Linked DNA regions of Schizosaccharomyces pombe. The main gene of each other region encodes a partner of the protein of the gene in region 2 in a complex. Each region holds a gene or a part of one and is shown on either strand. Other genes may lie near its edges.

The links.
Region 1: ask1 (region 2) and dam1 share a complex: the UniProt entries of both Schizosaccharomyces pombe proteins name them as parts of the DASH complex.
Region 3: ask1 (region 2) and spc34 share a complex: the UniProt entries of both Schizosaccharomyces pombe proteins name them as parts of the DASH complex.
Region 4: ask1 (region 2) and dad3 share a complex: the UniProt entries of both Schizosaccharomyces pombe proteins name them as parts of the DASH complex.

What each region holds. Positions count from the first base shown.
Region 1 is NC_003424.3:3,105,691-3,109,073, forward strand, and holds dam1 (DASH complex subunit Dam1), read right to left. Parts: upstream 1,152-3,383; coding exon 684-1,151; 3' UTR 501-683; downstream 1-500. Other genes in the region: WD repeat-containing protein Atg1801, read right to left, coding at 181-218; csr101 (sec14 family protein), read left to right, coding at 1,150-2,316; ubi5 (ubiquitin-40S ribosomal protein S31 fusion protein), read right to left, coding at 2,738-3,190. UniProt on the Schizosaccharomyces pombe protein: Component of the DASH complex that connects microtubules with kinetochores and couples microtubule depolymerisation to chromosome movement; it is involved in retrieving kinetochores to the spindle poles before their re-orientation on the spindle in early mitosis and allows microtubule depolymerization to pull chromosomes apart and resist detachment during anaphase.
Region 2 is NC_003423.3:1,560,294-1,567,035, forward strand, and holds ask1 (DASH complex subunit Ask1), read right to left. Parts: upstream 3,359-6,742; 5' UTR 3,272-3,358; coding exon 3,255-3,271; intron 3,200-3,254; coding exon 3,052-3,199; intron 2,974-3,051; coding exon 2,215-2,973; 3' UTR 2,033-2,214; downstream 1-2,032. Other genes in the region: app1 (actin cortical patch protein), read right to left, coding at 1-829; protein trafficking protein Pga2, read right to left, coding at 1,344-1,742; protein meu25, read left to right, coding at 3,609-5,477; septation protein Uds1, read left to right, coding at 6,110-6,742. UniProt on the Schizosaccharomyces pombe protein: Component of the DASH complex that connects microtubules with kinetochores and couples microtubule depolymerisation to chromosome movement; it is involved in retrieving kinetochores to the spindle poles before their re-orientation on the spindle in early mitosis and allows microtubule depolymerization to pull chromosomes apart and resist detachment during anaphase.
Region 3 is NC_003424.3:3,670,283-3,676,887, forward strand, and holds spc34 (DASH complex subunit Spc34), read right to left. Parts: upstream 4,613-6,605; 5' UTR 4,513-4,612; coding exon 4,018-4,512; 3' UTR 3,417-4,017; downstream 1-3,416. Other genes in the region: translation initiation factor eIF2B epsilon subunit tif225, read right to left, coding at 1-814, 884-1,008, 1,052-1,113, 1,158-1,215; V-type ATPase inhibitor and disassembly protein in response to oxidative stress Oxr1, read right to left, coding at 2,251-2,817; ABC family Fe transporter Atm1, read left to right, coding at 5,244-6,605. UniProt on the Schizosaccharomyces pombe protein: Component of the DASH complex that connects microtubules with kinetochores and couples microtubule depolymerisation to chromosome movement; it is involved in retrieving kinetochores to the spindle poles before their re-orientation on the spindle in early mitosis and allows microtubule depolymerization to pull chromosomes apart and resist detachment during anaphase.
Region 4 is NC_003424.3:5,226,621-5,232,978, reverse strand, and holds dad3 (DASH complex subunit Dad3), read right to left. Parts: upstream 3,181-6,358; 5' UTR 3,154-3,180; coding exon 3,076-3,153; intron 3,039-3,075; coding exon 2,856-3,038; 3' UTR 2,079-2,855; downstream 1-2,078. Other genes in the region: mek1 (meiosis-specific serine/threonine protein kinase), read right to left, coding at 413-1,058, 1,108-1,642, 1,683-1,839; Smc5-6 complex SMC P-loop ATPase subunit Smc5, read left to right, coding at 3,226-3,278, 3,347-3,512, 3,562-6,358. UniProt on the Schizosaccharomyces pombe protein: Component of the DASH complex that connects microtubules with kinetochores and couples microtubule depolymerisation to chromosome movement; it is involved in retrieving kinetochores to the spindle poles before their re-orientation on the spindle in early mitosis and allows microtubule depolymerization to pull chromosomes apart and resist detachment during anaphase.

The DNA.
Region 1 (3,383 bases), on a different chromosome or scaffold from region 2:
AAGTATTAGTGATGTTGATATCAAAAACAATAAAATAAGTACTTTGAATCCTGGTTAAATCCACAAAATAGTAAGCGAGACATATTCGATACCATTTTCAGCACAATTGGCCGATACGTATATTGTTCTAATGACTGGCTTGAGACAAGTGGAATGACCCGCGGCTATACACTTACATACGCTGCTTTGCCGCGGTACTTCCGAACAAAGAAATGCATTTTGAAGTAAAACGAAAACTAGTTGTATACTTGAAAACAAGTGTAATTGCTCCAATGTTTAAAATTACAAATATAGAATGTGAACAAATTTCGACACTTCAAATAGGTTCAATTAGTGTTACATATTTGAGGTATTGAAAGAGCCACTGAAGTTGTAAATGTGAGTATCGAAAATAGACTACAAATACATATTCATTTTATTGGAAATTGAAGATTGGAGAAGCTATTACATATGAGTTTACTGAACGCTTTCTAGAACTTTTAAAGCAATTGTCTACAGTTCACTTCGCTGAAGAAAAATGTGCATTAAAATGTTAAAAATTGTATATAAATCGTAAAATTGAATGATCATTATGATTCCGTTGTTTCATTATCCAACCTGATATGCTAGGTTATTCCCTTCGACTATTATAATAATAAATGAAAAAGAAAAAACTTCAACCAGTCTCCCTTGCTTAAATAAATTTATCTGGAAGCGGAATAGGTTTCTGGCCGTTCAATGAAAGAAGTGTCATTTGTAGCAAATGTTTCGTCTGCAGTTGCAAAATTGGGATCGTGAGAAATAACACCACCATCGTAGGGAGGGTCAGAAATCGAATGACCAGTACGAGTCATCAGCGTTGCCTTAAATTGGTCTTTCTTAGCTTGGAGTAAAAAACTTTCCGAAAGCGGTGCATTTTCATAATCTACGCAAAAAGCATTGATTTGCAATCCATAAAGAAAAGAAGAAAACGATTCGTTGAAATTGTCGAGTATTTGTTTGGTTGCTGACAGGTGATTCATTCGTTTACGAAATTCACTCACATTATCATCCAAAACAGCCAGTGACTTAGTAAAGGCTTGGAGATTCGAAGGGATTGCATTCTCACTTTCTATTTTCACATTATCAACATTTTCTAAAGGATTTTGAGTAGCTTTCTGGTATTTCTCCATGTTTTCGCGACTTTGGGTGAGATGTAGATGTTCTACAGCGCTTTCGGCAGCAGCAGCAGGAACATTTTTCTTCCGACGTTCTCAAAAACAGCCTGAGCCTGAGACTGTAGACGAAAAAGTGAGCTTTGAAAGTTATTCACCTTTAAAGTTGATGATTCAAAAGACATGGCCTAGGTTTCAAGAGCATAAAGAATATCGCGAATCGTTCATACGATTAGCAAAATGCGACTCACCCGACGCTATCTTAGTACGATTTTTGGCTTCTTGCAATAACGATTCACATGAAGCAAGTCAAAAGTTAATCAATACGCTACAATGGCGCGTAGATACAGGTGTTGAGCGTATCGTTGAGCGGGGTGAGCTTTATGCCAAAGAGACAAATGATGATCAGTTCTTGGAACAATTGAGAACTGGAAAGGTAACTATGTTGGGAAGGGACTTATCTGATCGCCCTATCTGCTATATTCAAGTCCATTTACATCAACCCTCAAAATTGACTCAGAATTCTCTTCGTGAGATGACCGTGTGGGTAATGGAAACTATGCGACTTTTTCTGCGACCACAAAAGACTTTGAAGGACTCTATGGACTCTCCTCAAAATGTGAATGTTCTGTTCGACCTTAGTAACTTTTCTCTACATAATATGGATTATTCTTTCGTTAAGTATTTGGCATCGTGTTTGGAGTATTATTACCCACAATCTCTTGGTGTTTGTATTCTTCATAAATCTCCTTGGATTTTCAGAAGTGTTTGGAACATTATTAAGGGATGGATTAAACCAGAGATTGCTGCGAAAATTGTTTTTACTCAGAGCGCAAACGACCTCGAAAAATACATAGACTATTCGGTAATTCCTACTTCTTTAGGAGGAGGCAACAAAAAGATATTCCAATACATAGAGCCAGTAGAGCATGAGAATGATGCAGTCATCGAAGATAGCGCTGAAAAGACTGCAGCACTTGCTCGCTATTATGCGTATTTCAGTGAATGGGAGCAGCACTCTTTAAATTGGGCCAAGCTAGATGATGATGATGCTCAAAATGAAAAAGTCCGCTTATGCTGCGATGCTGCAGGTACCAACTTTGCCAACTGCTATTGGAATGTTGACAAATATATACGAGCGAGAACCGTTTACGACCGACTGAAATGGATTGGTAATGTTTAAATTTACTCAATCTAAACGCTATGTTTTACGACTCAATTCTTTTTATTCTTTTATTAATAAAAGAATGCATCTTCCTATATTTACTACCTTTTACTAAAAACTTGAGTTTAGATCTAATGTCCTCGAAATACTCATGATTCCTCAATGGCGTTTTCAATAATCGCGTTTGCGCATATAAAAACTGTTGAAAATTCCACCAATCATTCAACCGTAGCTTGCTTGTTTAGTTTGGCTTATGTTTAGATTATTTATTTAAAAAAATCATCATGGGACTACTAGAAATATAATACAAATGAAATGTTTTCATAACCATTTACAATATAAGTATTTTCAATTCAATATAGCACATTACAATGAGCAATATAGATATATTACAAAATATCACTTAAAAAAGTGTTAATTTATTTTATCGCAAACTCATTTAAGCTTCCAATTTGAGGGTCAAGTGGCATCTACCACAGTAAAGGCGGTCCTTGTGGTTGGCCATGAAGGTGGATGCACCACAGTTAGGACACTCACGACGAAGACGCTTAACGCTTCCATCATCCTCAACCTTGTAGTACTTGAGGACGGCGAGCTCAACCTTCTTGTGCTTGTGCTTGATCTTCTTGGGAGTAGTGTAAGTCTTCTTTTTACGCTTCTTACCACCACCACGAAGACGCAAAACGAGGTGAAGAGTGGACTCCTTTTGGATGTTGTAATCAGACAAAGTACGTCCATCTTCTAACTGCTTACCAGCGAAAATAAGACGTTGTTGATCAGGAGGAATTCCTTCTTTGTCTTGGATTTTGCTCTTGACATTATCAATAGTGTCAGAGGACTCCACCTCAAGGGTAATCGTCTTACCCGTAAGGGTTTTGACGAAAATTTGCATTTTGGTTGTGCTTAGAAATGTTTTTCGAAATTCATATTTCTTTTGTTAAGTTGTGACTGCTTACTACTGCTGTACTTGGTAAGGTATGACTCTAAAATTTTAAGAATAAGAAGCCGAGCGAGAATTCAATATTCTAATTTAGCGGTCAAATTTTCAACTCGTTAAACCATAGGTGCACTAATTGAGCAATGAT
Region 2 (6,742 bases):
TGATCACTTTATCCTCCGAGGTAGATTGTAGAAGAACAGCTTCCACAGAAAACTTGTTATTTTTAGTGGTGTAAAACGGGATCACTTCATCTATAATAAAATATCCTTCAACATTCGTAGCAACGTTAAATTCAGCAACAACTTTCTGCTCAAAATTCTTATCAGTAGCATATATTTTTACCAAAACAAACTCATCTTTTAAGCCTCGTTGCAGAGACGCTAAAGAGCGCTCCTCAAAGTATTCCTCACATTTGGCCAAACCTATAGTAGAAATGTATTGAGAATTTACCGAAGGAGTCATAATTCGATTAAAAAATCCTGATATTCCATACCCCGATTGATACCAACTCCTTGAGGCAGACAATGAAGGGTTAGGTACATTCACGCCATTTCCCTGTAAGTCGTCGGGAGTCGTATGCAGGGACAAAGGTGGATCATTCTCAGTTTTAGAGGTTGATGATAATTCAATATCATTAGGCTTTCCATCATTCACGTTCACGTTCAATTGAGCTTTCGTGTCTACTACAACCTGCAAATTTGTGTTTTCGTCATCCTTTTCAGGATATGTTCCCGTTTCTTTGGATTTTGGAGGCAGACCGACATATCTACGAAGTAAATTCAACATTAAACGATCTTTACGACCAAGATTATTGAGATCAGGGTTCTCGTAAACCCAACCGCGAACATGAACTGATATGTGCTTGGGTTCACTACCGTACTCTTTACCAGTACTAATGAAACATTGAGGATAAATGGTTATTGAAGTCAAATCATTGATAGTAGGGCTCTCTTCAGAGCCCCTAAACAAACGTCCAAATGATCGAAACATGGACGGTAAGAGCCCACCCCGAAACGTAACATGTCAAGCTCAAAATAAGCAAATTTGAACCCATATGCATGCGTTAATAGCGTTTATCGTAATATTACCGCAAATACTTAAATTTTGTTAGAGCATTTAAGGATTATTTAGAATACGTAATATTTCAACTCAAAATACTGGAATGAGTGGGAAAGAAAAATAAATTGATCTAAACGCTGAAATTAAACCTAACAGGGGATTGATTAAAGCTTGGCTCACGAAAAGATATTATGACTTAAAAATGCAAGAAAAAGGAGAAACAATCAAAGGACTTTCGTTGATCTCGTAGGAAAAGAATGCACTCTCAAATTGCATTATTAATCCTACATTCAATTAATTAGCTTTTGCTTTCATCCATGCAGTCACGGTTTCAAGAGAAAAGGATATCAAATTTTCACAAAGAAATTAAAACAATGATTAACAAACTAAATGACACAAGTTTTCTAAAGTGCTTGGAGTAATGAATATTATCTCACAACTAGAATTAATCCTCAAGGTGCTCTTCGATGTCTTCATCATCATCAGCGTAAGCATCAAGAGGAGATTTGTCTTGATTCTTAAAGTATTCTTCACGTTGTTTGCGAATACGGCGGCGTGCTGAATAACCCCAACGGAATTCGGCATCAGGATTTTCTTCTTCTTCCTCATCATCCGTGTCAAATTCTCCATGTTCTTTGGGCTTCGTGCCATGCGTCATTTCCGGATCTAAAGTACCATCTACTTCGCCTTCTAATAAAGATTTTCTATGTTCTCTCTCCTGTATCTTGGCTCCCAACTTCATCAAATATGGCCGGATTAACATATATCCTCCAACATATACGATAATTCGAATCCAGTCCTTCAATGAATATGATTGTAAATAGCCTGCAACGTCAAACCCCATTTTCCTTGCACAAAAAAGAGTGGTGGATACTAAGTTCACCTGTCTGCTCAACCAGGCAAACTATTATTAACCAAGTCACTAAAATTCTTTAGACTTTTTTAGAATTTTTAAAACCTCGTTATTCGTCTTAACGTATATTCTCAATGATATGCTGTAAAAAGATTTATTAATTAGGCTATAATACTAATTTATTTAAAAATTTTATAGTTATTTGCTTTCTTAGTTTATTTTAAAATTATTTTCATACAAATTTTACTTGGTTTACAGTATTTATACCGTGACTTATGATTCTCTTAAAAGAAGAATTTTCCAAATTAAATAGAACGTACAGTAAATAAAAAATTATATAACATAAATATAAGGTGGGATTTTATGAAGTAGACATATGTGCTTAGAAAATAAATAGAAAAAATGCGAAAGTAAGGTTCACTACTAAAGGCGAAACGAAGGTGATAACTTCAGCAGTGCTTTATCAGAGTTCCCAACTATCTTCTTCTTTGACAAAACTATCATTAGAATCATTCAAGGTTTCTAATTTCCTCTGCAAAGACAGGCTTCGCTCGTTGGCTTGCTGAGAAGAACCCACCCCCATGGTATGCGGGCTGAATTGGATAGTTTTAGGTGGAGACATTCCACTTGGGTTAATGCTATCATAGCTTTCATGCTCAAATTCTGCAAATAAAGAAAGAGCATGCGAAGAGTTTCTATCGTTAAGTGAAGGCATGTCCATTTTCATTGATATGGGAGAAGGCGATACAAAAGGAGAAGAATCAATATCCATTACTTCTTGAGATTGCAAATTCTTAGGCTCACGTGGAGTCACTTGTACTTGCCAATTTGTATCTAAAACGCGATGCAGAAGGGCACTACGACCTGTATGAGGATTATTTTCTGGTTTTCTTAGCGGAGTCTGCATCCTTGCCGGGATGGGGGTCAAAGCTGCATCATCTAACGAAATATCCTCTAAGGAGACATCCATCTTCTTAGGAGTGGACTGTACAAAATCCTCGTTTTTTGTATTATCTCCTTGTACAGCTGCATCGGGAAAATCAGATTTTCCGACAAAAGAATGCCTCTTTTCCAAATGTTCATTCTTTGTGTGCAGCTGTAGGTCCGCCTCTGTAGAATTAGACATAACATCTTGATCGCTTGGATTGGATTCTACTGGAACAGGTTCCTCTACACCCGAAAGTGAAACATTGGCACTTGCTTCAAAAAACTGCTTCCAAAACTGTTTTCTGTTAGCTTAATTCTTAAAATAATACAAATTACAAGCTGAATCATGAGTGGCAGTTGCCATTGAACATACTTTTGAAGAGTCCCATATAGTGTTACAATTTTTTGCGTATTTTTCCACGATAGGCAAGATTTTGGTAGTCACTGTTCGATGACATTTAGAAAAATTTGCATCAATTTCGTAAAGTGCTAGAGTAATCGATTGTTCCAATCGTTCTAATCTAATTCTTTTGTTAGAGAATGTTTATCTACAGTCGCGACAAGTTTACTGCATACTGTTCCAAATTGTTCATAAGAATGACATCTAATACTCATAAAAACTTTGAAAATATTATTTCTTAGTATAGAAACTCTCAATGGTGAAATTTATGGCGAACTGCAACTGAGGTGTAGGTATACTAGCGTCCATTATTAGCGATGTTTCGTAAAGTAAACAAGTTAAATTGGCAATATACAGTGAGATTTTTGTAAGTTCAAGATAATACTAATACAATCATTGTTGAGTAATAAATATGAATTTTAAAGTTTTGTTTACTTTCCTCAGTGGACTAAATGCAGACTGCAATGATCAAATGATCCATAGTAAACAAACATTCAACTTGTCTTTTGCCAGCATCCTCAAGATCCAAAATGAGTAGTATCTTTGGAGAGAATATTGTTTCAGATAGTATAGTAAATATGGAGTTGACGAACCCTGATAATACTACGACTATGCATCCCATCTATGAAACTAACATTGAAAAGGAAGTCCAGCAGGAGTTTTCTGACAATGTCTCTGAAAAAGAAACGATTGACTCAACTAAAAGCAAAATATCTTTAGAAAATATACAGCAAGAAATGGGAGCACTTGCCAAGAAAATTTTTCATAAATTAGGGGTTAAAGCAACCGACTTGGGATTTTCTAATGAGCATGATGACTCGCAGGATTCATTACAGACACTAGCGCCTTCTCCATCATATGTTCCACTTTTGAAGGTTATTGGAAGCTCTGAGGAGGTCAATAGCAACTTGGTATTAACCGACTTGGAAACAAATACTGATGGATATGATCCTAAATTTTTGATTTCTGTTAGGAAGTTTTTGATGGGATCTCCCAACTCTGGCTTTGTCGTTAAACATGAGAAACGTCTTCCAGATGGACCGCGTGTTCTGGCCCTTCGAGCCATTTCATCAGTCGATGAAGAAAATAGAAAAGAGCGCCTATCTCCTGATAGTGATCCTGTTGAAACAGAATCTGTTTATGTTGACAATGGAGAATTGTCAAATCAAAAAGTAGAAACAGTTGAAATTTCCGAAAAAGAACAAAATGATGATCCCGCCGGATATTCTCAATACCTTCTAGAGTTCAAGAAGAGTAAATGTCAAAAGAAAGTGCCGACTTTAGAGAGTATTGAGGAAAATGAAGGAACGGAACCTCATGACAACTTGACCTTTATGACTGATTTGGGAACTCCATACTATTCTCTGGGTAATGAATTTGAAAGAAAGCAAATTTTGGATGAATACGGGTTGCTGGCTAATGATGAAAACCTAGTTATTGGACACACGTTAAGAGCGGAGTATTGCTTTATGTTTGATGAAAGCGATATCCTGCAATTACGCAATTATGAACATACAGAAAAGGAACTTAGTGTCCTTCAATTTAAAGGGGTCTCGTCACGTTGGGATTTTCGTTGCTGTAGAGAAGAACGTTTACTCCGATTGCTACTATGTTTCGACAGTGAACATACTGGGCAATCTTTCATTCAACTGAACGATCCTGAAAATGAAAATGAAAAGGAAGAACAAAATTCCATTAGCATTAGGGAATTATCCTACTTCAGCACAAAACTTATTTCATTGATCTTACCCAAAGAAGCACATAAGCAGCGGTATATCATGCTAAGCTCCTTAGCAAAGACAAGGGAAGCTGATTTCTTTTGGTCTGAAGAGGAAAAAACTAATTATACAAACGAGCTTCTCAGCAACCCATGCAAATTCCTTTGTGAACTAGATCATTTCGATTCATTTCCTCATCAACAACAAGATCTACTCTGGAAGTACTTAGCGGAGTTTTCTGCTAGTTTAGAGTTAGACCCCAACCTTGCCCTTTGGAAGAAGCAAGTTATTTTTTCAAAAATCGGTCATCCGAAGTTGCTGGTTATGCCAATATCTAGTTTCCACTGCGTACAACGTTTCCCTGACCTTGTTTGCGTTCAAACTTCAACTGCTGAAACGTTTTTGTCTGTGGATCGTGAATTAACAACTTATGACCTAAACACTATTAAGTTGTTAAACACAGCACCTAGTCGTACAGCTCAAAACTGGCTTTTTATCATGCATCACCTAGAAATTGTAGGCTATTTATTTCCACATTTGGTTCATCTCGATAAACAGTATAGTTTATTAGATTATGCAAAGTCTGTTGAGCACATTCCAGAATTGGGCACTGTACAACGAAAAGGGTTTTTGAACAAAGTCGCATTTGATGATAACGAGGCTTTACTTTACCAAGTTTAAACGTACTGTCACATAATTTTCTATCACATGTTATCGACCATTCAGTGTTGAGGTTCCTAGGAATCTCTTCTAGGATGGTAGTGTACCTTTTAAGCGAAATTTTGTTTCATCTGCACATTCATTATTTACAAACCTATACGAACTTGACAAAAGTTTTTACGAATATACTAAATATTGACTTATTAATACTTGAAAATATTATCACTTTTTTTGAGGTGGTCTAAGTAAAAATGTGTAGGTCGAATTCGTCACATAGGGTAATAAATGTAAGTGTAGGACCGTTAAAGTATGCTCTAAATAATCTTTTAACATATAAAAAGTAATGTGGATTATTTGCAAACACCATAATGAATGTTGATCAAAATACCGGTTCAACGTCGATAAATAACAAACAGCAGAGCCCACCGATACACAAACCTAAAATTGCAAAGGGACTTTAATAGTCGTATAATCTGGAGAATGAAATGCTTAGCGACCGATCATTGCAACGTGATAATAGGTTGGCTTAGGTGCTTTGTTTATTTACATTTCAATGTTAGTTGTCATGGAAACGAAATTCATACAAAATAAAGCGTATGCGGCTGTAAACAAACAAAAGATTCAACATTTACATTTACCCATTTTACCCAAAAATGGGGTTTCATGGATGTTTAAGTACAGATGAATATGAACCTGAGTTAATTGAGAAATATGGGAATCCTGAACCACCTTCTTCAAGCATATTAATTAATACACGACCAGTCAATCCATTTTTATCCACTTTCGTGTATGTAGGAAAGGCTAGCAGTTCTGAAGATGTGTCTATATCTACAGGTGAGGAGGAAATGCGAACCCTTTTAGTTGCGTCTGCTGTTAAAGATGCAAAAGGTTGGGTGTACCTTTCCGGAAAAGACGTTGAAGAAATAAAACAGAAAATAAAAAACCTGCAGGGATTACTTGGTGTTTCTATAAAAAAACTGGCTGTCGAAGCCAAAATTAGAGAAGCTGCTAAGAATTTGATGGTTGCCCAAGCTAAGGAGAAAAAAGGAAAACATAAACAAAGTACGATAGAGCATTACGAACAATGTTCTCGTAGAGTTAGAGAACTTTCTTCTAAGATATGGCTTATTGAAAGGAAACTTGCAGAATTTTATATGCACCTATTGAAGCATATGGTTGCTGTGTGCATTGCTGAGCTTAAACCAGGTAGCTGTAGCAAGGTATCTTCACCGGTTTCTGCCATCACCGCTGATGAGAGCGCAACTGGATTTCGAGATGAAGAAATA
Region 3 (6,605 bases), on a different chromosome or scaffold from region 2:
ATTCCTACCAATGATAGTATTCGCAACCACAGACGCATCACCGACTTTGGTATAGGCACCGATCAAAGTTCGTGCCTTAATAATGCAAGAACGAGCAAGAACAACGTCTTCTTCCTTATAAATCTGATGTCTTTGATAACTAAAAGTTTGGTTAAGAAGATTGCTATCGGGAACAAAAGGATAGACCCATCGAGAAAGAACATCTTTGCTAATAGCATCATAAGTTTGAAGACTACGAACACGAGCTGCATAATTTTCTTTAGCAACATGGCAATGAATCTTTTTTCCTAAAAGATCAGAGGTTAAAACACCATATACGAAGTCTTTTCGAATGTCTTGGTAATCAAAGTTTTCAGTAAAAAGGGCAGGTACATCATTGGAGCAAATGTCAATTTGACAGTCAATCAAATCATTTCGAACCTCCAACTCTTCATGCTCATTAAAGATTTCGGGATCCATAGAAACATAATGTTTTCCCCTTTCGTTAGCTTGATAATGCACGCATTGGCTGGTCTTTTTATCTATCACGAAAACAGAACTCTCTGTACGGGCGCGTGTACGATGAAATGGACTTGCTTCTCGTACAACCATTGTCATAATAGCATTTTTATCATCTTCACGGCGCTTCCGATGTTCTTTCAAAACTTCGTTTAGAGGCACATTGGATACCACATCGCCTGATACGAGTATGAAATCGGAGGTAATTAGCTGTTTTGAATCGAGCTCTCTTAAAGCATCACCAACCGACAGAGATTCTCTTGACACAATCGTGTTTACACTAAAGGGGGAAGAGGGAAGATTCCACTTTGACTTTCTGTGGGTTATATTGTGTTAGTTATATCGTATCAGAAATTCGAATTTAAGACCTCAATTTAGCACATACTCTATATATTCTCGAATTTGTCCTGCATGGGCACAGCAAAATACATAAACTTCTTGCACCCCGGCCAATGCCAAAAACTCAAAAGTGTACTCTATTAAAGGGGTATTTGCTAAAGGAAGAAGACACTAATAATATTAGTACTTAAAGTGTACACTGGTAATTGCATACGCGAGGTTTATCTAATGTAAGAGGGCGAAACCGATAATTATAAGAATCCGACAAAACAATCGCTAAAAATTAGTAACAAACACTTTTTGAATCCCAAAAACATTACCTTGCAGAGCGTGTTTTGGCTTTTCTAGCTTGCCATTCAGCCCTTTGGATGGAGGCATTTCGACAATGTAGAGGGATTAGACATATTTCTCAATATCATTTAAGCCCAAACAGTCATTTAAGGATGCCGTGCTCCACTGCCTTATAACTTAAAGATTATTCTAAACAATTCATCAACTAGAGACTAAAAAGGAATTTATAAAGACGTTAATAATCAAAGAGTAATTAAATTTAGGATATTAAATTTGCATAGCTCATTTCTTTTATAGTTTATTGGCGAAAGAAAGTGGTTTTATTTAAGTAACCACAAAAATTCCACATAATAAACAGAAGATATAAACGGTGATTTATCCTGTTAAGTTGGTAAATTTTGTCAATTTGTTTTCTACAATTGGGTAGTGGTTGCAAACATTTTACTAATCTTATGGTAGTTTATCGAGATTTGAATACAGGTTTCAAGTGTTTACACGGTAATCAAAAAGAAACATAATAAATAAAACTTCATAATAATTATTATTACTGATATAAAGTGGATGGTAGAAATCGATTCGTCAATTAGGGACGATACGAATTGTTGATGAAAAGCAACCACGTGAATAAATATACTAAGTGTAGCATTAAAAGTTATGAATAGAAAAAGAGAAAATTAATAAATAATAGACAATTGGGGAGAAGATATTGGGGATGCTCTTCATTTGATTCGTTCACTCAATGCATAAGGCGTAAAGAAATTAATAGCAAGGATATTCATGCTTGATCAATTAACAAACGTAATCTTCCGGAATTGAGAAGAAGTATTAAAAATTAGCTGATGATAGAAAGCTATACATCACAAATGGGAGGGAAGAGTCCTACGGCTCGAATTTCTGGTAAACTCGATATTCATTGATTGAACATGCAAATCAACGAGTTAACTTGAATTAAGAATAATAATCAATGCATAGAGTCAGCATAAAATTGTCTTTGGTTGAATAAATTAGTCATAAAGAAAGCACGGTAAAATATTAATCTTGATATAAATATAAAACTTGGGCTGATGCACATTTCCGAGTCCATCTTTTATTTTCTTTTTTCTTTTCATTCGTTAGTTGATATTACTCCAATACCCAGAGCTCGATGTCCACGATTTGGATTCGTTGGTCAGGACAGCCACGATAGCTCAAAGGATTGTTTTCGAATGCAGGAGTACGACTAGAGTAAGCGTACTCTAGAGAGCCATCAAGCCAAAGGCTGTATCTTCCATTACCCCCACCAAATGCCAAAAAGCTTTTGGTGCAATATGCAACAAAATTGGAATTTCCTACGAAAGGGTAATGTACATACTTTTTGGGAGGAAAATATTTCCACAAGAAGGTTTCCTCGGAACCAAAGTAATGAGGTGCAGGAATTAAATAATCAGGGATAAAAACTCCAAAAACATCGCCGTCTGTATCGCGCACAGCTAAAATGCAAGCCCCTTTAGGATGGCCGCTTCGAGCTTTTTCCTTTTCGCAGGCTAAGTACATTGTTTGAAGAGATGCGCCGTCATGTTGCAACGAATAGATTCGTTTCCAAGTTTCAGCAGAAGCATATCTTGCTGGCAAGTTCTCAACGATGTGACTGGCCAATTCATCTGTTATTAAGCCGTCTTTAACACTATACTGTCTTGTAAAGTTAAACATTTCAATTGATACAAAATACTTGCTAAAATTTTGTACTCTTATGGTGTGTGTAGTTAGAAAGATTAAGGTGATCCACTAGCCTTATGTAATAAGTAAACAAATAAATAATTGTGAATACAATAACAAACACTGAAATAAACAACAGTAAGTGTATTCTTTAATTTTCCAAAGAAGAAGTTTTTCTTAATAAAGGTATTCTTATTGATCCTTTTTTATTGTTTTTTTTGAGAAATCGAGTAAATAATTTTTTTGGCGTAATGTGTGATTGTTAAGGTGGAGCAGCAGCCTTGGTATTAGCAATTAAAACATTCGTTCAAATTCTATCATTCAGTAACAACAAAAAATAATTATAGTTGACGAGTCAATAGAAACACTATGAACCTGACTTTTACTCTATATTAATAATCAAATATAGAATAAATACATAGTGTTCCATTACTTGCTATCATACTATGCTATTGAACTTTTATTTATATCTTAAATAAAATCTTTTAGAACTTTTAAGAACAAGTATGTACTTATGTTTGTATAAATATTAAGAACTCATTACAACAAATGAGTCCAATGCAAAAGCTGGCGTTGAGCCAGTAATCTAATTGCCGTCTTTAACTTATCATGAACATTATTGTATTTTTCACATACTATTCTATAAATGAGAATATTACAAAAACAATGAGTTATTATGCTCCTGAGTTGTAATGTACTTAGTTTGCTAATTATCTTCGTTCAATATCTTTGCCGCTTTAGAGAATTCCTGGAGCAAACAGTCCAAAGATTCTCTTCTCTTCTCTTTATGTTTTTCATATTCTAGGTATTCATAATCCTCTAGCTCTTTTGTAGCCTTCAAAGTAACAGTAGACGAACTTGCTTTTTTCTTAGCAAGCGACATTTCAATATGCTTTTTAAAGGATGATATATCAAAACATCGACTTCTTTTTTTCCTCTTCAGCTTCATCAGTTTGTATTGGGAGTAAGCCGATCGATCATCTGACGTCGAAGGATAACTGCAATCAGAAATATCTCGGGTGCTTCTTTGAGGATGTAACTTCAAAGGAATGAGTCCATGGTCTTTTATATCCTCGCTTAAATACATTTCTTGTTCTTTGCTCAAATCCATGATAAAACAACGACCTCGCTTCTCCTTTTCTAAATGTTCACCAATACGAAAAGTCGATCTGACTACCAACGCAAATAGCCTTCCTAAGATTGTATCAGTTGCTTCACTTTTTCAATTTCTCTTTCAAGTCTTTGGATTTCAGAAGTTTCACGCTGTAGAATATTCTCCCTAGCAGACACCTGATCGGTTTGTCGTTTTTCAAGTTGCTGCAATTGCTCTTTCTGTTCCAGTAAAACGTTTTCCAAATTCTCAATTCCTGACATATGTAAGTTGTATTTCTCAACCAGAGTCTCCAAATATTCACGGCCACCTTGCATAGGATATATATCTAGTAGTTCCTCAATACAAGCAACGTAGTCTGCAGGGTTTTCTGATGCCAACCTTTCACTCCAATCCTTCGGTAGAGATTTGAACTCAGCTGCAATTAGTTCTTCCTTCTGAGTATCGCGAATTAAATCAGTTATAGCATGAGTATGTAGCACCGCGTCTGTGAAACGTGCTGCGTTTGGGTTTTCCGGTTCCAAAAGTTTTTCTGATGTAGCAGCAATAGACTGTAAATAATTCAACAAATCAGACATTTATTTAATAAGTCATCAAAAACACTAATTCGACTCGTAATTAGTAAAAGGTATGTTTCAATTCACTTTACCAGAGTTGCCAAAAGTGTATGCAATCTCTGGGTGTGTGCAGGTGGTTTAACCAAAACGTAATAAACGTTTGGTATCTTTGATATAATGGAAATCACCTGTGCCTGTTTTTGAAATTCTGTTCTCGCTCAGCAAATTATTTTAACAAAGGTAAAGCATTGCGTTCATTCCTTGCTATTTTCCTTTATTTGCTACACCGAATCATTCTTACGTTTACGCTTTAGGCACACATTTCTTCAGCTCAGATTATCCATTAATAATTATATGTAAAACTTTTATAAAGGTTAATACACGCTAAAAATTTCGTAATCCTCAGTGCAGTTTTGATGAGTTTGCAATTGTTGGACTCTACTTCGCAATCGTGATCTAATCAAAATCTACAACTTTCTAAGTCTGCCAGATTTATAGAACTAAAGGTTTGAGAATTATCCTTCTCTTAGTTCTTTTATTCATATATACCATCTATTAAAAAGTTGCCTCTTTGGAGGCTATTTGAGGTTTTTCTGACTGAACGTTTCGTCTGTTTTTCATATTCTATCAGCCAAGTTTATTCTATTTAAATATAGATTTAAAAACTTTAATTATCTTAAATAGAAGAGCAGTATATTGGGTATAACTAACAGCTTGAAGCTCTGACATCTTAAAGTGTTGTATTAATAAAAATGCTAGAACGATGTCCCTGGAAATTAATCAGCTCGCCAAGAAATATTCCAGCTCGCTCTTTTCTTAATTCTCGTGGAACTTATCTTGTTTTAAGAAAGTCAAATATATTACCTCTTCAACATATACTGCGGTTTTCCAATTTTGCATCTAAGCAATGTTTCCCACTTAGAAATGGAAATAATTCGGCTTCAAAAGCGTTATGGAATAACAAATCAAAAGAAAAAGAGCCACTGAATACTTCTGTTAAACTTGCTTCCGATGTACCAGATGATAAAAATGTAACAGGACAAATGATTGTTAAGGACATGCTTCAATATATTTGGCCCAAGGGGAAGACTAATTTGAAAGTTAGAGTTGTTTCGGCTCTCGCACTACTTGTAGCTGCCAAAATTCTTAACGTCCAAGTTCCTTTTTACTTTAAATCAATTATCGATACCATGAATACAACACTTGTTCAAGAAGTAGGAGCATTGTGGTCTACTGTAGGAGCTGTTGTTCTCGGTTATGGCTTTGCTAGAATATTTTCTACCGTTTTTCAAGAGTTAAGGAATAGCGTTTTTGCAATTGTGTCGCAAAGCGCTATTCGAAGTGTTTCTAGCAATGTCTATCAACATCTGTTGAACCTTGACATGAATTTTCATCTCTCAAAGCAAACAGGAAGTATTACTAGAGCAATGGATCGTGGTACAAAAGGTATTAGTTTCATTCTTTCCTCCATGGTGTTACACATCATTCCTATTACCCTTGAAATTGCTATGGTGAGTGGTATTCTCACTTACAAGTACGGACCTTCGTTTTCGGCCATTGCTGCTACAACCGTTGCTCTTTATGCTCTTTTTACTGTTAGGACGACATCCTGGAGAACTGTATTCCGTCGTCAAGCAAATGCTGCTGACAGTAAAGCATCAGCCGCGGCAATTGAATCTCTGATTAATTATGAAGCCGTTAAAACTTTTAATAACGAATCATACGAAATGAGCAGATATGAAAAGCATCTTTCCGCCTACGAAAAAGCCAACGTTAAGGTAGCATCTTCTTTGGCCTTTTTGAATTCAGGACAGGCTATTATATTCTCTACCGCTCTTACTTTGATGATGTACATGGGTTGTCGTGGAATTGTAACTTCCAACCTTACTGTAGGTGACCTTGTCATGATTAACCAATTAGTATTTCAGTTGTCAATTCCTCTTAACTTCCTTGGATCTGTCTATCGCGAAATGAGACAGGCTTTTACTGATATGGAGCAATTGTTTTCTTTAAAGCGCATTAATATCCAAGTGAAGGAGGCGCCAGATGCTCGAGATTTGGTTCTTAAAGGCGGATCTATTCAATTCGATAACGTTCATTTTTCGTATAATCCA
Region 4 (6,358 bases), on a different chromosome or scaffold from region 2:
GTATAGGGGTAGTACACAAGCCTGTCACGCTTGCAGCCCGGGTTCGAATCCCGGAGGGAGAGGATTATCTTTTTATAAAGTTTTTTTAAGCTATTAAAAAAAAAAGGATGCTTATATCTATAAAATACCAAATTTACGCTGATTGAGACTAAAAATTGTTTTTTTTTAAGGTAGGGAAAATGGCTGACAAATTGATGGTCACTCATATCTTAAGTAATAAAATTTCTTTATATTAATTGCGTAAGTTGGATTGCCTGATTAATTCTAAAGATTAAATGTGTTCATATTTTATAGTTTATAGCTAAAAATAACTTAATTAAGTAATGTTAGAATTACATAGTTCAGACACATAGCTTTTATGTGGAGAAACTTCGATCGTTTTATCAAGTTTATCGAATATTTTCTTACGTGGCTATAGCCGGGAATGTTTAAGAGGTTTGAGAATACGAGTTTCATATAATTTGGTGAGACGACTACTATGTCGCGCGAACCAGGGATGGGAAAGACATTGTTTGACTGTGAACCGATCTGGGGGATTCGTTTTTAAAAGATTTGATATCAGATCTTTGGCTTGCCTGGAGACGGATTTCCAAACAGGATCTCGAAAATCCACTTGTTTTTCTTTCACTCCATCTGCAAATGATGGTGAATTACCTGACAACAGCAAAAACATAATTACTCCAAGGCTCCATAAATCGACCTCTTTACCGTAACCAGAAGAATTTTCCTTTTCCACTTGAGACCTTCCTTTTAATCTTTGGATTTCCGGGGCGGTATATTCCGGAGTGCCTACGAAAGTCGAAAGTCTTTTTCCCTTCTGCATACATCTTGCAACACCAAAATCGGTTAAAATGATTCTAAAAATGGTATCAGAGGACGACGCAATGAGAATATTTTCAAGTTTTAAATCCCTGTGAATTATATTCTGCTCATGTAAATATTTTAGCCCTTGTAGAATTTGAAACATAATAAATAAAGTGGTAACTTCAGGAACCGTTCCCAATTTCGTTAAATAACTGAACAAATCTCCTCCCGTCACCATTTCCTCAAATATAAAACTAAGGAATATTAATCATCAAAATAACAAACCGCATTCAATCTACTTACAACTGAGTTTCCGAATTATACTCCATGTTTACTTTGATAATGTTAGGATGATCAAGTTTCCTAAGAATTGTCATCTCGTGGTCCTCGAAAAACCGTTTCGTTGAGATTTTTTTCTTGTCGATGATTTTACACGCGTATTGTCCCCCAGTGTTATTATCCATTGCCATGTAAATGCGCGAGAAGCCACCAATTCCCAATAGTCTTTGAGTGATGTTAAATCTCTCACCCGCATACTCGTGATGAAAATCATTATCAGTAGTGTATTTCTGCTGGAAAAGAAAGGAAGCGCAGTGCCGAACATCGAGTATATCTCCATCCGATAAAAGGACGCTATTGCCTTTACCAATTAAACGATGATTTAAGAATGTTCCATTAGAGCTCTGATCTTCACAATAAACAAGGGGATCCATATCATCATCGATTAGCACCGAATACACTCTAAAGTGCTTATAACTGGCAGTGAATTGCAGAAGCTGATAATTGCATGTATTACTCCTTCCAACAGAAACGTCTTCATATTTCTTAACATTCAGTACTAATATATGTCAAAAATCAATTGAAACAAGAGAACACACCTGTTTGTGGAGAAGATGATGAAAAAACAAACAATCGAGCGAGAACATCATCTTCAGTATATTGAGGATCCATAGTACTTTCGTCTATTTGACTCAATTCACAAAGAATTTGCGTTGATTCAGATCGACTAAGCATGGCATGTGATAAAAAGTCCATAGTTCTTGCTTTTTTTTATATACACTTTGCAAAACGGTGATGCGCGTAAGCAATAAATATATATATACTTTGTAAGACGCGCCTATCAAAACGTAAAAGCAGTGTCTATAACGGTATAAAGACAATACCCATTATTATTACGTTATACCACTATAAACCAAAGTCATTTGGTAATGCCAAAACATACACTTGCCAATATTTTGAAGGATTGGGCTTGACACTATTAAGTATATTAATAAAATATGAACCTCATTGCTTATCAAATATAGTAAATTATGAGAATCCATATTAGTACAAACAGAAGAAACTTTGGATTTCAATCTCGAAGAGAGTTGCTGGCATTTAAATGATTTTTAGTCAAATGCAAGCAGAAGAAAATTTCTCGCTGTATTCACTTTAATGATCCGAGGACAAAAACGAGTCCCAATTGTAAGTTGCTCTTCATAACGAAGAAATTTGAGTATGAATAACCATTACGGTTAGAAAAAAACAAGGAAGGAAACTTATTATTTGATTAAGAAATCAACAGCTTACAACATTGCAGATTCTCATGCAACCCCATTTTCATAACGCTTTTAGGAAAGCTTGAAAACACTTTCGAATCCAGCATGATCTAATAAAATGTTAACAGGCAATTAATCGGAAGATTCATTAGGTCAGTGTTTCCGGGGTAATAGTTTAGAAATATTTAAGGCCGGACTACTTCCAAAGGGTTGTTTTGGATAATTGATTAAAAGTGATCTAACCAACTTTTTAAAAACAATACCCATATTCGTTTCTTGGACATTTTAGCCGAAAAGTGCTTTTTAAAAACCTTCATAAGCTTATATCTTGTGCCTGTTTTTACTCTTCCAAGTAGGATGTATTTTTTTCTCTGTAAAAGTGATTGAAAAATTATCCGGTAAATATTCAGTTCCAAATATTCATAGTAAACCACACGAAAAGCACCAACAGTAGAGTTAAAGCTTAATTTATAGTTCGGTTTGACGTATTTTCAATTTCAAACAAGCACGTTATCAACTTTCATCTTGAAACATGCCGCTTTTACCTTCTTGGTTATTTTCTAGGTCTGCCAAAATCGCCCAAACACTAGCTTTGTAAAGAGTATATACAAGTCCAACCTCCTTTTCTAAATCCCTTAGCGAGTCCAGAATATTGTTGCTGGGATTATAAACCATGTCCTGTAACACCTTAACAAGCTAAATATTAACCAACTGCTGAATAAAAAAGACTTACTGTTTCTAAATTTGATGCAAGATTAGCATATTCAGCTAAAATTTGATTCTGGAGAGCTCTTTTTTCCTCTAAACTCATTGTACCTTGCCTTGCATAAGCACTTTGCTCTCAGCAAACTCCTAGTTGACTGAAATCCTCCTTACTTCCACCATGGATGGCCTTAGGCCTTCGAAACGAAGAAAAAGTAATCCTTTGTATTCAGAGTAAGTTATAGCTTTTTTCTATTTAGTATTTCTGCTTTTTATACTTCGATGATCTTAACACGCGAGAGTTACGCGTTAGGAAGTATTGTACGAATTAAATTAGTGAACTTTGTTACATACGATTATTGTGAACTGTTCCCTGGTCCATATCTAAATTTGATTATCGGTCCAAATGGGACAGGTAAGAGCACAATTGTTTCAGCAATATGCATTGGGCTGGGATGGCCCCCAAAAGTAAGTCTTTCAATATTATAAAAAATAACTTAATTGATTAACGATTTAGCTACTTGGGAGAGCTAAAGAGGCCCGTGAATTTATAAAGTATGGCAAAAACACTGCAACCATAGAAATTGAAATGAAGTATCGTGACGATGAAACGGTTACTATCACGAGACAAATAAGCCAGGATAAGAGTAGTTCTTTCTCTATTAATAGGGAAGCATGTGCCACTTCTTCAATAACGTCTCTAATGGATACTTTCAATGTACAATTGAATAATCTTTGTCATTTTTTACCACAAGACCGTGTTGCAGAATTCGCTCAGCTTGATCCTTATTCTAGACTGATGGAAACTGAGCGTGCAATTGACCATGAAGGGTTACTTCCCGCACATGAGAAGCTTATTGATTTACGAAAACGAGAAAGGGAAATTTTACAAAATAAAAACCAAGGACAATCAACATTAAATTCATTAAAAGATAGACAACAGGCACTAGAGAAGGAAGTCAATATATTTAAAGAACGGGAAAAAATCAAATCATACATCGAAATGCTAGGGTTAGCTAAAATGTTAGTTATATACAGAGAGAAAACCAATGTCTTTAACCAACTTCGTGCAGACAAAAAAAAATTAAAAAAGGATTTGAAAGACCTAGTGGAAGAATTTCAACCTATTTTGGATAAAGGTGAAGAGCTGCGTTCGGATTTAAAACTAAAAGATGATACATTTAACGATTACTCCTCCGCTTCGATGGAACTTAATACCTCAAATTTAAGAGCCAGAGCTTCTTTTTCGAATTTCATGGAGAACGAGAAAAAGCTTTATGAGAAGGTTAATACCAATCGAACACTTTTACGGAATGCAAATCTTACATTAAATGAAGCACAACAATCGGTGAAGTCATTAACAGAAAGACAAGGCCCAAGACCTTCGGATAACGGTGTTCAAGATCTACAAGAAAAGATGCAAGAAGTTAATGCGGAAAAACTTCAACATGAAAACGAGAAACTTGAGAGCTCTCATGAACTAGGTAGTATCAGAACATTGAAAGCACAAAAGCTTATTGACCTTGATAACATTAAAAGAGAGTTGTCCTACTACAACGATGCTACGAAAAGGAAACTAGACTTTATGTCTTCTGCTCCAGGCTGGGAAGATGCTTATCAGACGTATCAGTTATTGAAGGAATACGAATCTGCGTTTGAAGCACCCGCATACGGCCCAATTTATATGAATTTGAAATGTAAGGAAAAAGGGTTTGCAGCTTTGATAGAAGGGTTTTTTCGCACGGATACGTTTCGAACATTTATAATGTCAAATTATAATGATTATCTAAAGTTAATGGATCTTATCACTTCAAAAACTAAGTACACTCCTACTATAAGAGAATTCTCCAGTGAACGAAAAAAGAAGATAGAAGATTTTGAACCTCCATGCTCTCGTGAGAAGCTTCAGTCTTTCGGGTTTGACGGATATGTGATCGATTTTTTAGAGGGGCCAGAAGTGGTTTTGGTTGCTTTGTGCCATATGTTAAAAATTCATCAAATTCCGATTGCAAAAAGGGAACTACCTCCCGCATCAGTGAATGCGTTAAACAATTTTCGTCTGGCTAACGGGGATCCAGTTCTTAAAACTTACTTGGCGGGCTCATCTATCCACTTGGTTTTTCGTTCAGCTTACGGTGATAGAGAAATTACTAGGCGAACAGACCCATTACCTTCTCGCAGTATATATTTTTCCGAGAACGTTGAGATGGATTTGGTAAAGCGAAAGGAGGAGCAACTAAATGCTCAACTCTCTCAATTGGAAAATTTACAGAATGAGGAAAGAAAGTTACAAGAAAAGGTAAATGAGCACGAATCGCTGCTTTCTCGTACAAACGATATATTATCTACTCTACGAAAAGAGCGTGACGAAAAATTAATTCCTATTCACGAATGGCAACAATTACAAGAAAGAATAGAACACCAAACTCTTCTACTAAGACAAAGAGAGAAAGTTCCTGAGCAATTTGCAGCTGAAATTGAAAAAAATGAAGATATCAGGAAAGAGAACTTCGAAGCTCTTATGAATTCGGTGTTAAAAGTTAAGGAGAATTCAATTAAAGCTACGAATAATTTCGAGAAGATGTTGGGAAGTAGACTTAATGTCATAGAAGCGAAATACAAACTTGAAAAACACGAGATGGATGCCAACCAAGTCAACGCTCGATTGACAGAAGTACAAGATCGTCTTAAAGATATTACCGATAAGTTAGCCTCAGCAAGGGAGGATGCTATGTCCTTGTACGGTTCAGTGGTTGATTCATTGCAGACACAATCATCTGACAGACAAACGGCAATAACTGAATTAAATGAAGAATTTGCTACTAGTTCGGAAGTGGATAACAAAATTAGCATCGAAGAAACGAAACTGAAGTTTATGAATGTTAATAGTTACGTTATGGAACAATATGATGCGCGTAAAAAAGAAATTGAGGAACTAGAATCGAAAATGTCAGACTTTGATCAATCCGTTGAAGAGCTCCAAGACGAGATGAACTCAATCAAAGAGGATTGGGTTAGTAAGTTAGAGGAGAATGTTCAATGTATTAGCGATAGATTTTCTAAAGGAATGAGTGGAATGGGATATGCTGGAGAAGTTCGACTAGGGAAATCCGACGATTATGATAAATGGTATATCGATATTTTAGTACAATTTCGAGAGGAAGAAGGACTTCAAAAACTTACGGGTCAACGACAATCTGGTGGAGAACGTTCTGTATCTACTATAATGTATTTATTATCTTTACAAGGTTTGGCAATTGCTCCGTTTCGAATAGTTGATGAAATAAATCAAGGAATGGATCCTCGAAATGAAC